Cricetulus griseus: one gene and its partner. The protein of the gene in region 1 interacts with the protein of each later gene in a pairwise test. Links are inferred from orthologs where the notes say so. Each region holds a gene or a part of one and is shown on either strand. Other genes may lie near its edges.

What was found.
Region 2: the proteins of Abl1 (region 1) and Msh5 interact in binary tests that used the Homo sapiens proteins (3 or more experiments, as listed by UniProt). The link is inferred for Cricetulus griseus from reciprocal best matches to the Homo sapiens genes ABL1 and MSH5.

What each region holds. Positions count from the first base shown.
Region 1 is NC_048599.1:143,502,669-143,508,260, reverse strand, and holds part of Abl1 (tyrosine-protein kinase ABL1), read right to left. Parts: intron 3,029-5,592; coding exon 2,855-3,028; intron 2,262-2,854; coding exon 1,966-2,261; intron 1-1,965. UniProt on the Homo sapiens protein: Non-receptor tyrosine-protein kinase that plays a role in many key processes linked to cell growth and survival such as cytoskeleton remodeling in response to extracellular stimuli, cell motility and adhesion, receptor endocytosis, autophagy, DNA damage response and apoptosis.
Region 2 is NW_023276806.1:231,562,666-231,568,963, forward strand, and holds the start of Msh5 (mutS protein homolog 5), read right to left. Parts: upstream 3,919-6,298; 5' UTR 3,833-3,918; coding exon 3,548-3,832; intron 3,408-3,547; coding exon 3,284-3,407; intron 2,721-3,283; coding exon 2,640-2,720; intron 2,523-2,639; coding exon 2,460-2,522; intron 1,806-2,459; coding exon 1,684-1,805; intron 1,509-1,683; coding exon 1,399-1,508; intron 1,162-1,398; coding exon 1,126-1,161; intron 720-1,125; coding exon 695-719; intron 36-694; coding exon 1-35.

The DNA of each region.
Region 1 (5,592 bases):
ATCCTGGCATTATGCTGACCCTGCCCCTTGACAACTGGCAGGGTATGCAACCAGCCTTTAGGCAGATACTTAGACAGCTCAAAGGGCCCTGTGTGGCATGGCTACCTCATTTGTGCTTGCTTTAAGTGGCTGCATAAGGACTCTGTACACAGAAACCGGGTGAACTGGGCCAATGCCAGCTCCATGACTCCAATTTCAACCGCCCCAACTACTGAGCCTCCTTCTAAACCGCTCTCTTTCCCAATAAACTCCATGTGGGTTTGTTGAGTTGTGTGGTTCTGTTTCATCGCCCGAAGCTGCAGCAAACAACAACAGAACACAGGTCATATGCATGGCTTTATACCATGGAGTCAGGCTCCCCCAAAATAGTTTAGATGCTGTGGTAGCTTGAATAAGAATGGTCTCCATAGGCTCATTAGTTTGAATGCTTAGTCACCAGGGAGTGGTGAGTGGCACTATTTGAAAGGATTAGGCTCTTTTGAATGGACTGCCTCACTAGGAGTGGGCTTCGAGGTCTCAAAAGCCCATGCAAGGCCCAGCCTCTCTGACTTGGCCTACAGATCAGGATGTAGCCCTCAGCTATTTCTCCAGCACCCGCCTGCCTGCCACCAAGCTTCCTTCTCCTAAGCATCACCACCATGATGCTAGTAAACTAAGCTTCTGAAACTGTAAGCAAGACACCAATTAAAGGTTTCCTTTGGAAGAGCTGCCTTGGTCATGGTGTCTCTTCACAGCAACAGAATGCCATCTTTACTATGCAATCTGCCTATCAAAGCTGTCCTCTAACAGAACCTGGCACTGTGAAGAGGGGGGCCCCAGCCTGGTGCTACCAATTACTCCCTATATGAAAATCTTGAACTAGAAGTCTTGTCCCTCTAAGCCCCCCTCTTACTGATACAAAAATACAGATGGCATCAGTAGCCTCCAGGGGTGGAGGTGAGGGTTAAAGAGAGGAACTCCAAGACACTAGCACTGATTAAGCCTCAGTAATTGGATTTTTCCCATCTCTTTGTGGACATTTAAGGAGCAATGTTTATGCAAAGATTACAAAACACACTTTGTGCTTACAGGGAGGCCAATTGGTGTACTTTGATGTGACTTCTGTTAAAATCTGAGTGCATTTATATGTGTCTACACCCACACTTTACCACAGGAAGAACATTGGTTGTCAGGTCAAGGAGGTGCTGTTATGGGGCCTGTAGCTTTACACATAATGAATGACTACTGCTTGAATTTCTCTGACTAAAGATCAATCATCATCACTATAAAAGTTTACAAAAAGGGCTGCTGAGCTATGTTGGCGCACGCCTTTAATTCCAGCACTTGGGAGGCAGAGGCAGGCAGATCTCTGTGAGTTTGAGACCAGTCTGGTCTACAGAGTAACTTCCAGGATGGCCAGGGCTACAAAATACAGAGACTGTATCAAAAAAAATCAAAGAACAAACACAAAGAATTTATGAAAAGGAAGAGTCTTAACATAAGAACTTACATCTGAGACCCAACAGCATTCCTGTGGTTTTTCAGAGAATCCTACACACCAAGACCCAGGACCTGTGATATCAGCTGACAGTGGCTGGCAACCAATGGTCTTTTGTGAAGCTAATGAAAATGTCTTCTGTTTACTTAGAAGATTCCTGAGACACTGTCTGGTTTGATTGTTTGAAACAAGGTCTTTATGTGGCCCAGGCTGGCCCTGAGACACTGTCTGGTTTGATTGTTTGAAACAAGGTCTTTATGTGGCCCAGGCTGGCCCTGAACTTACTATGTAGCCAAGGATAGCTTTGAAGTACTGATTCAAAGTACTTTGTAATTCAGTACTTTGAAGCCTGTAATTCAGCCTGCTTGAGACATTCTGATTGAGCCTACTGACATAATTCAATGGCCTAGGCTACCATATATGTTCCCCTGTATGTCCCCCACAGCCCATCAGCTCACTGCTGGTCCCAGTCCAGGGTGGTTACCCACCTTGCCATCAGAGGCGGTGTTGATCCTGTAGTGGTATACCCTCCCTTCATATCTCAGGGAGATGGACCTCTGGCCAGGACTACTCTCACTCTCCCGCACCAAGAAGCTGCCGTTGATCCCACTGCTCAGCAGATACTCAGCGGCATTTCGGGACACAGGCCCATGATACCAGGAATGTTTCTCCAGACTGTTGACAGGGGTGATGTAGTTGCTTGGTACCCATCCTTGGCCATTTTTCGTTTGGGCTTCACACCATTCCCCATTGTGATTATAACCTAAGACCCGGAGCTTTTCACCTTAGAGAAAAGAACCAAATAAATGTATCAGTTTTGATGACTGCCTTTCTTCTTTGTAACCTTTCTCTAGCATATCTCATTTTCCTGTTAGTCATGAGTGTACAGAGGACAACTCTGCCTTGGCATCTAAGATTATACAAATTTGATCAAAAGTTCTGTTGCTACTGCAAGGAAACTTTTTAAGGAAAAATGCTTTTACTTGGTGATAAAAAACAGTAACAAAACTCCATGCTTTCAGCCTGAGATCCAGGTGTCCTCTTCTTCTTTTTTTTTTTTTTTTTTTTTTTTTTTTTTGGTTTTTTGAGACAGGGTTTCTGTGTGTAGCTTTGGGGCCTATCGTGGCACTCGCTCTGGAGACCAGGCTGGCCTCGAACTCACAGAGATCCGCCTGCCTCTGCCTCCCGAGTGCTGGGATTAAAGGCGTCAGGTGTCCTCTTCTATAGGAACATGGGGAATCATGTGCACAGGACTGCTGCCCCTGAGTCTCCTAAGGGTGGGCACTGTGCTTTGTAGGCATCTCTGCCCTCTCAGGAAGCAAAGGGCAGGCCAGCCAAACCACACACCCCGACCCTTGCTTGCTGTTTCCCTGTTACCTTTAGTGATGCTGAGAGTGTTATCTCCACTGGCCACAAAATCATATAGTGCCACAAAAAGGTTGGGGTCATTTTCACTGGGCCCAGCAAGAAGGTTTTCCTTGGAGTTCCATCGAGCTGCTTCACTGAGACTCTGGGGCTCAAAGTCAGATGCCACTGGCCTCTGCAAGGCTTCTGTAAGACAAGAAAAAGGCAAATGAAATTTGGGAGACATGAGCTGAATTTTTCATGGCTTAACACACACACACACACACACACACACACACACACACACACACACACATATATATATGGCTTATATATATGGTTTTCATGGCTTAACATATATATAATTTATATATATATTATATATTATATATTTATATTGAAACAGGGTTTCTGTGTAACAGCCCAGGTTGTCCTGGAACTCACTCTGTAGACCAGGTTGGCCTTGAATTCATAGAGGCCTGCCTCTGCCTTCTGAGTGCTGGGATTAAAGGCATGTGCCACCACCACCTGGCTACATCCATATATTCTATGTATTAAAATTTTCAGTTGTCTTTATCAAGTATTATGAAAGGCATGAAGTATTCTCATTCTAACTGATGATTCCCTGTGGGGAATTAAGTAAGAATGGGCCCCACATACTCACATATTTGAATGCTCACATTAATGGAACTATTTGGGGAGGGTTAGGAGGTGTGGCTTCATTTGAGGTTAGCTCTGCCTCCTACTTCCAGATCAGGATGTGAGCTCTCAGCTACTGCTCCAGCCTTGTGCCTGCTGCCACTCTCCCTATCATGATGGTCATAGACTATGACCTCTAGAACCATAAGCCCCAATCAAACATTTTTTAATGAGTTGACTTGTTCTCGGTGTTCTGTCACAGCAGTAGAAAAGAAACAAAGGCATTCCTGTTCCCAAATAGTGTAAGTCTTTAAGTGCATTCATTCAGGCAGGCAAGATGGCTCAGCAGGTAGAAGCAGTGGCTGCCAAATCTGACAAACTAAGTTGGGTCCCTAGGACTCAAGTGTTGGTTGGAGAGGATTAACTCCTGCAAGCTGTTCTCTGGCCTCTATATGCACGCCATGGCATATGCACACACACCAAATAAATGTAATAAAGTAAATTCATTAATTCAATATGTATTTTCTCAGAAATAGACATAACCCACCTCAACAGTAGCCACCGCTTACAACATGGAATGCACATTCTTTAAAGCAGCTTTTCTTTTTGAGACAAGGTTTCACGTAACCTTACATTCCTAGTTCATCCTCCCAGGTGCTGGGATGACAAGTTTGTGCCCCCACAGCTAGCTTTAACACTTACATATATCAGTGTTGACATAAATAACTAAGCCTTTTATTCCATCCCTCTCTATGCTGGCCTAAGAGCTCTCCACCCTCTACTTCAAACTGCCCTTCTGCTTATGCTCTGAGGCAGCCGTTCCCCATGAGACTGCTTCTTCTCTCCATCCACCTTCCTGCTGGCTTCTGGCTCCTCTTCCCACTCAGATGTAGCCATCATTACACGTTTCTTAGCCTGTGAGGGCCCTAAACAAGCAGTCTCTTATGTTCTGAAATCAGAAAGCCTCCCTTGTGTGTCTGTCACATCTGAGGCTGGAGCTGACCAGCACTGCTTGCACTAGGGACAGGTACTGCTCATAGACAGTTTCCTGTCCTTTTCTCTTTGTTATCCTTGAACTGTACTCCAACTGTCTAAGTCACCTCTGTGATAACAATTTGTAGAAGGGATTTTCCTGAGAAGACCAATCTCATCTGGAAGGCATGGCAATGCAGGGCATGGCAGTACAGGACACTCTAACTGAGCCTGAAATTTCACTATTTTGTCTAAGCTGGCTGGCTAGGGCCTAGGAGCTACTAGGACTCATTCACCTCCATCACAGCACTGGGATTCTGGGCACATGCAACCATACCTGGCCTTCCCATGGGTGATGAGTACTTGAACTCAGGTCCTCTTGCTTTCACAGCAAGTGCTCCTAACTCACTGAGCCATTCCTCCAGCCCCAGAATAATTTTTTATCAACATGTCACCCTTCTCCACTTAATGTGTTTTGCTAGCTCCAAGCAAGGACTGACCGTGGGAGTTGAGTGCTAAAACTAGAGCCTAAAATCATCTATAAGTTCAACCTGGAGACCAGGGCTGAGGTCCGCTGCAGAATCTTTCTAATGCACATGGTCTATTCTGGCTGTTGCAAGTTTTCTTCCCCCTAATTCCCCAGCAATTTTTTAGTTCTGGCCATTATGAGTCTTCCTGAAATGCTCATTCTAACTGCATAAAAACAACTACTTCCCATGCTAATGTTTTGTTAGTTTTATATTCAAAAATAGTCTGAGACACCAAGCTAGCAAGAAAGCACACCAGCCTTCAGTGGGGAGCAGCATGGGCAGAAGCCAGCAGCACCTGTATCTGGGAGAGCACGTTTTTACCACAGAGAGGAGAGCACTGTTGACTCAGCAGGTCAGGTATGTGATGCCTGGTAGAACAGCTTCTGTGGCCTTACAGAAGTAAACTCTCTGGCAGAGTTTTTATTTTAAAGAAAGATTTAAATTTCATTTACTTATTTTTAACAAATATTGTGTATTTATTTTTACGTGTATTGATGTTCTGCGTGCACATTTGTCTGTGTGAGGGTGTCATATGCCTGGAACTGGAGTTACAGACAGTTCCTTACAGTAGTAAACTGCCAAGTGGGTGCTAGGAATTGAACCTGGGTCCTCTGGAAGACCAGTCAGTGT
Region 2 (6,298 bases), on another chromosome or scaffold:
AGAAATGAAGACGTCTGGATGACCTTCTGTACAACCTACACATAGCATATGCATGTGTGTACATATGTATTTCTGTTTTTGAGACAGGGTTTCTCTATGTAGCCCTGGATGTCCTAGAACTCATGGTGTAGACTGGGCTGGCCTTGAATTTATAGAAATCCCCCTGCCTCTGCCTTCCAGGGCTGGGACTGAAGATGAGCCACCACACCTGCCTGTGCACACATGTTTTGCTGCAGGTGCGCATGCTCCCATGCACATGTGAGAAGCCAGAGGACATGGAAGTGGCTGTCTTCTGTCTCTCTGTCTTGTTCTATTTCAAGACAGGGTCTCTCATTGAACCCAGAGTTCCACATTTTCTTTGGCTAAGATGGCAGCCAGAGATGCCAAGCACTTACATAAAACTCAGATCCAAACTCAGATCCTCAAAGTTGAGTAACAAGAGCTTTTGCTCACTGAGCCCTGTTCCTACTTTAACCTTAATTTTTTAAAATAACAACAATAAAAGGAGTGGGGAACTGAGACAGGTTTTCTCTTGTACTGTGTATAGCCCTGTCTGTCCTGGAACTCACTATGTAGACCAGGCTGGCCCTGAACTCCCAGAGATCCACCTGTCTCTGCCTCCCCAGTGCTGGGATTAAAGGCATGCGCCTCCACCCCTGGCAATAATAATCTTGATGTGAGGGTTATTACTCACTTTTGGATTTGCCTCAGCTTCTCCCCTTAGGAAAAGGAAATGAAAGTCAGCCTGGTTTATATAGTAAGTTCCAGAACAGTGGGGCTATGTAGAGAGACCCAGTCTCAAAATACAAACACACACACACACACACAAAAAAAAAAAAAACAGGAAAGAAAGGAAACCAGCAGACTAGAGTTGTCACTTCAGGAGGCAGAATGCTTGCCTGGCAGGCACCAGCCCCTGGGGTCCATCCCCAACATTGCAAAAAGGAAAGGAAAGGGAGGTGATGCCTTTGTAGTCCCCCCCCCCAATCACGCTTTCCTTCCCTTCAAGGAGAGAGATCTTAGCAGCCCCAGGATTAGAGAGACTAGGCCTCATTAGGATTATTAGAGCATTAGGCTCAACCCGTGTGTTTCTGGAGGAGGCAGAGCAGTCTATCTGCACCTCACCTGTAAGTGTCTTGATCTATGCTCACCAGATGGGTCCTAAGAACAGAAAACAAGCCAAAGGGAAGGTGGCTGGGGAATGGCGGCTCACTACAAGCTCCACTGCCTTGATTCCTGTCTCAGTACTGTTTGATCTTCCCAGAGCAATACAATCCCCTGGTTCTCCCTCGTCCCAGCACACGTGTCCACTGTCCCCATCCCTCTCCCGTGTCCCAGCACGCGTGTCCAATCTCCTGGCTTACTCCTGAGACCTCCCAGTCCCTTTACATCACCTACAATACAAATTTCTTAAACCCCAGGATCGGGACGCTGACATTATAATCCTCCAGTTCCACCCCAACTCTTCTTCGACTCAGGAACTTGAGCAGTCCTCCAAGTGCCCGGACCTGGAAGGGGTCAGCAGTGGAGTTGGAATAAAGCCTAGGGTTCCAGAAGCTGGACAACACCAATATCAACAAAGACTGTCATTTTCCAGGGCTGGGGCAGTCCAGCCCAACTCAGCCTGGGACTGGGACTGTGAGCTCAGCCTTCCCCAGCCCAAACCCCAGTGACCTGGCTCACCGTGAGGACACAGTCAAAGGGAATAATGGAGGAGAGGAAAAGGATTTTCTCAGTGGCAGTCATGGACTCTGGGATGAATGAGTAGTTTCCAGAAAGGAGACGCTGCTTGCTTGTCTCTGGACCTATTTTGGGGAATAAGGAGAGGAAAAAAGTCTTATAAATCAACTTTCTTACCCCAACACAACAAGAGCAAAAGCAACCCAAGTCCACAGAGCTGGTTAAGGAAAGCTAACGCAAGAACCCACAGGTGCACACTGAGTCTGATTCTCTTCTTTGTGTAATATAGATGTCCGGCTATAAGCACAACCTGGGAAAGACAAATGATGTCTGGGATTGTAGATTTTCTAGATCAAAAAGATCTTATGATAAAAGAAAGAGTAGTCCTAATGTCCAGATATCTAATGAGGACAGAACATCCCCTGTCCTTTTTGTAAACCTGGGAGTTTGCCAAGTAGGAAGTGTCTTATGGATCATCTGGATCCCAGAAACAGTGCCCTTCCTTTTGATGCAATAAAACACTTTGGCTTAAAGGGGAACTCCAACATTCAAAGCTGTTTGAGAGGCATCATCACTCCATTTTCTCAGCAGGGGTGGGGGCATCCTAAGGTAACTAACCCAATGGCTTCTCAATTAGTTAGATTATTAATGATTGGGTGCAGGAGAGACCTTGGGGCACGGGAGGCACCTTCAGATGAGAACAGATGGGGAGGTCTCTGATAATGGGGTGAAATGAAGGGAAGAGACAGGGATGGGGTCAGGCAGTGTGAAGTAGTTACCGAAATCCACGCTGGGCAGAAGTATGATCTCAGGTTTCTTTGGCTGTCTGTGCTCCTGGGAGGCTGTGGAAGCAAAGGACCATGGTTTTGTACACTTCAGTCCTGTTGTCCCTTCCTGCATCTCGGAACGCCACACTTCAGTAGCCTCTTTCCATTTTCCCTTCTTCAGGCCATCCTTACCAAGCTTCCTCAGGAACCGAGTCATGGCCTCATCCTGTTTGGCACTTGTAATGACAGACTGGGGGTTGACTTCATCCAGAACTTGAAAAGAGAAGGGACCAAAGAGTCAAAGGAGCTCTACACATGGACAAAGAGGTAAGCGGCAGCTCTCTTCTTGCCACTGTTCCCCTAAAGAATTATTTTCTCAGCCAGGCATGGTGGTGCATGCCTCTCATTCTAGCACTAGGGAGACAGGCCAGTCTCTGAGTTGGAGGTCAGCGGGGCCTACATGGCAGGTTCCAGGACAGACAGAGCTGTCTCAAAAAACCAAAACCAAAATAAGAGAATTTATTTTCTGTCTGTTTGGGGAGTGCTCTGCACAGACTGGGAGCACAGTCTGGAATGAGATTTAGTAAAGTAGTAATATTGCAGGGGCGGGGGGAGGGGAAGAGGGGCGTTCTGGAAAATACCACTAGATTAAAGTCATGAGTGGTTTGCCAGGGACCAAATCTGCAGCGTTTAATATAGAGCAAGTAAGTACAATACAGTTGTGTTGGATAATTAATTCCCCGGAACAGGTGACTATAAAGTAGATTCAGTCACGTAAGGACGTATGCGTGACACAATTCCAAGCCCAGAGTCAGGAATCAAGGGTCGTGTCCCACCTCTCTGGAGAAGCTTCAGGCTCTGGTGGTCTGGGGCATCTGGCATGAAGTGGACAGTGGAGTCGCTAGTGTCATAGTAAGCAATGCCCAGATGTCCCGAACTCCACAGCACGCACAGGTGGATCTGCCCCATGAGGAAGGACACGAGATCAGTATCTGAACCCTCCTCCGAGACAGGCACCGGGCACCTAGTCAACCACCGAGACACAGGTTGGGCCCCGCCCTCCGCAGTCCTCCCGGCCCGCTCGCTCCTCCCTCCCACACCTCAGCCGGCTCCTCCTCCTCCTCGTCCTCGTCCTCCTCCTCAATAGTTCCAGGCCGGGGCACCGGGGCCTGTGGGCCGGGGAAGCCGGGTCCCCGCGGCGTCCTGCCCGGGGTGGCTCTGAAAGCCATGGGCTCGGCGACTCTGAGGACGTGGGAGGAGAAGCCACATTTCACCGGGTGGCTGGGCGGGGTGAAGCGCCCGTCGCGGCTCCCCGAGGGAGGCTTCTCCTTCGAGGGCGACTTCTTTAGGCTGCAAACAACCCCGTGCGACCGTCCCACCCTCATTTCTGTCACTCGTCAAATCTGTTCCTGCCACCCACGCCCCGGCAGCCACGGCCGCGCTCTTCCGTCCCCGCCCCACCCAGCGCCGCCACCTCGCGGCGCTTTCCCGCCTTTTCCGTCACCTCAGAGGCCACACTCCACCTCACTGGCCAACGGCCGCCAGCTGGGGGCAGGGCGAGCGTCTGGGGGCGGGGCGGGGGCGCGCTCGCCCCGCCCTCTCAGTCGCCATTGGCTGGAGGAGCCTGCCTAGCTATCCAATAGGAAGAGAGGGAGTACCGGGAGAAGCGCGGCGGAGTCTACTCGCTGATTGGTCTGTTTACAAGAGGGGCGGGGCCGGCGCGTTCAAAATTCCCGCCCTCTGCCGTTGCTAAGCAGCGGGAGGCCAGGGTTTCCGAGCTTTGACTGAGGCAGGGCGGCGCCCGCCCGCCCGCTCGCCGGCTCGCCCGCCAGCAGGTCGCTGTGCGAGCCCAAGTCGCAGCCCAGAAAAAGGGTCTGGGCGGTGGGGAGGCCGACCTTAAAGGGCCAGAGCATTTTTCCTCCTGCCCGGAGCGTGGCGAGAAGCACCATTAACCCGGCCCAGGCCAACGGCAGCCACTCTGTTCATATTTGCACCCACCGAGTTAATATTTACAAATATTTAACTATATTAAATACAATTTAACAGCTAATATTTGCAGAGCGGCGTCCAGCAAGCAGAGTAAGCGCTACACGAGTGTCTTAGGATAAATAAGTGGGAGTGACAGCCACCTGTCATTTCAACCCTACTTCTGCGCCCGCCATGCCCGGTCCCTGAAAGCGGGGCACGGCCACCCCCACACGAGCACCACGGGGCCTGATCCTTTCGGGACCTCTGAAGAGGAAGTGCGGTTTCTGGATGATTGACACAGCATTCCGAAAGCAGACATAATGACGACACGCAACGCCAGGCGTATCGGTTTATGCCCGACCCACAGCCCACTGACCAAAGGACACCGCGTATCATAACTCGTCCATGATAGAGCCGGGTGGGACAGAAGGAGTTTCTGAGGGAGAAAGAAAGAAATATAGCTTACGATAAACAAATAAATAAATAAAGCCTTTAAGTCTGGCTGGCTGGTCAGGGAAAATTGCCTTAAATTCCATCCCTAGGACTCACACGGCAGGAAAAAACTAACAAAATTGACCTCTGACCTCCACACCTGTGCTGTTTGTGCCCTTACACACACACACACTATAAGTACATAATTTAAAAACTGTCTCAGCAATCCTGAAATAAGAAGATCCTGCCTGCGGCCCAGGGAGATGGTGTGAGGTGACCTGGCTCTGCTGCCCAGTGACTGGAAAATCCTCTCCACAGGGGACGGTGGGGAGCAGAGCTAAGGGCTGGGTTAATGGTTACCCTTGGCAAATTGTTGAGCAATGGAGCTATGGAAACCTGGAGGGTGGTGAGAGCTCCGAGGAGTGGCAGGAGGGACACACCTTCCAATCTGGGCTGTGAAGAGATTAGGGACTGGTTACCAAGACAAGGCAGGCATTGGGCACAGGAAGAGAAGCCAGCTGAGGAAAGGGAGCTGGTGAACGAGAAAGAGCAGGGCCACAGAGATGAGATGGGAGCAAACAATTTCCTGATGCAGCCCTGGCTTCCAATCCGGGAGTCACCCCCTGGCGGCCCCGGGAGAGGGCGGCCTGAAATTTAGGCAGGGTAACTGGAGGGTGGCAATCCAGGCCGCCAGGCCGCCGCAGTCAATATTGATGATCAGGGCAGCTGCGGCTGTAAAGACAAGCAGGGGCAAGGCGGTCAAACCTGTTTGAGACCAACTAAAGCTTCTCCCTGTGGGATCGAGGTTGGGCAGACTCCCTGGTGGTCGCCTACCAGTGGGGAAAACGGAAGTCTGGGAAATAAGGCGTCTTTGAAATCACCTTGTTCATCAGTGGGGAAGGGTCCCTGAGCAGATTTTGAGGGTCAGCATGATGGGAACGCACACTTCTGGGATGTTCAAAGGTCCAAATACCAATAATACCCTGCCTTTCTGAGGAGAGAGATAATAAGCCTCCCCCCTCCCAGGGAGGAGAAAGCCCCTGGTAGAGGAAGCTAAGAGGAAGCCACTAACTGCTGGTTTCCACCAAGACAAGCACCGCTCACCCAGCCCTCCAATCCTCCAATCTCTCTCTCTCTCTCTCTCTCTCTCTCTCTCTCTCTCTCTCTCTCTTCTCTCTCTCTCTCTCTCTCTCTGTTTCCAGCCCAGTTTTGTTTCTAGGTCTTTCTAAGTGCAGCATGTTTTTCTCCAAACATCTTTTTTGGACAGACAGTGAGTAGAAAAGAAAAAGGATGGTCGGACTGTAGAGCGAGCGTGAAGGCTGGAATATTGGCAGACATATTTTAGAATTTTTTAAAAGATAGGTAGTAAAGTTTGATACTACCAAGCCTCCCAGGGAACGATTTACTTTTTCTTCTGCCTTCTTTTATTTGCTTAGATATCCCCCAGGCCT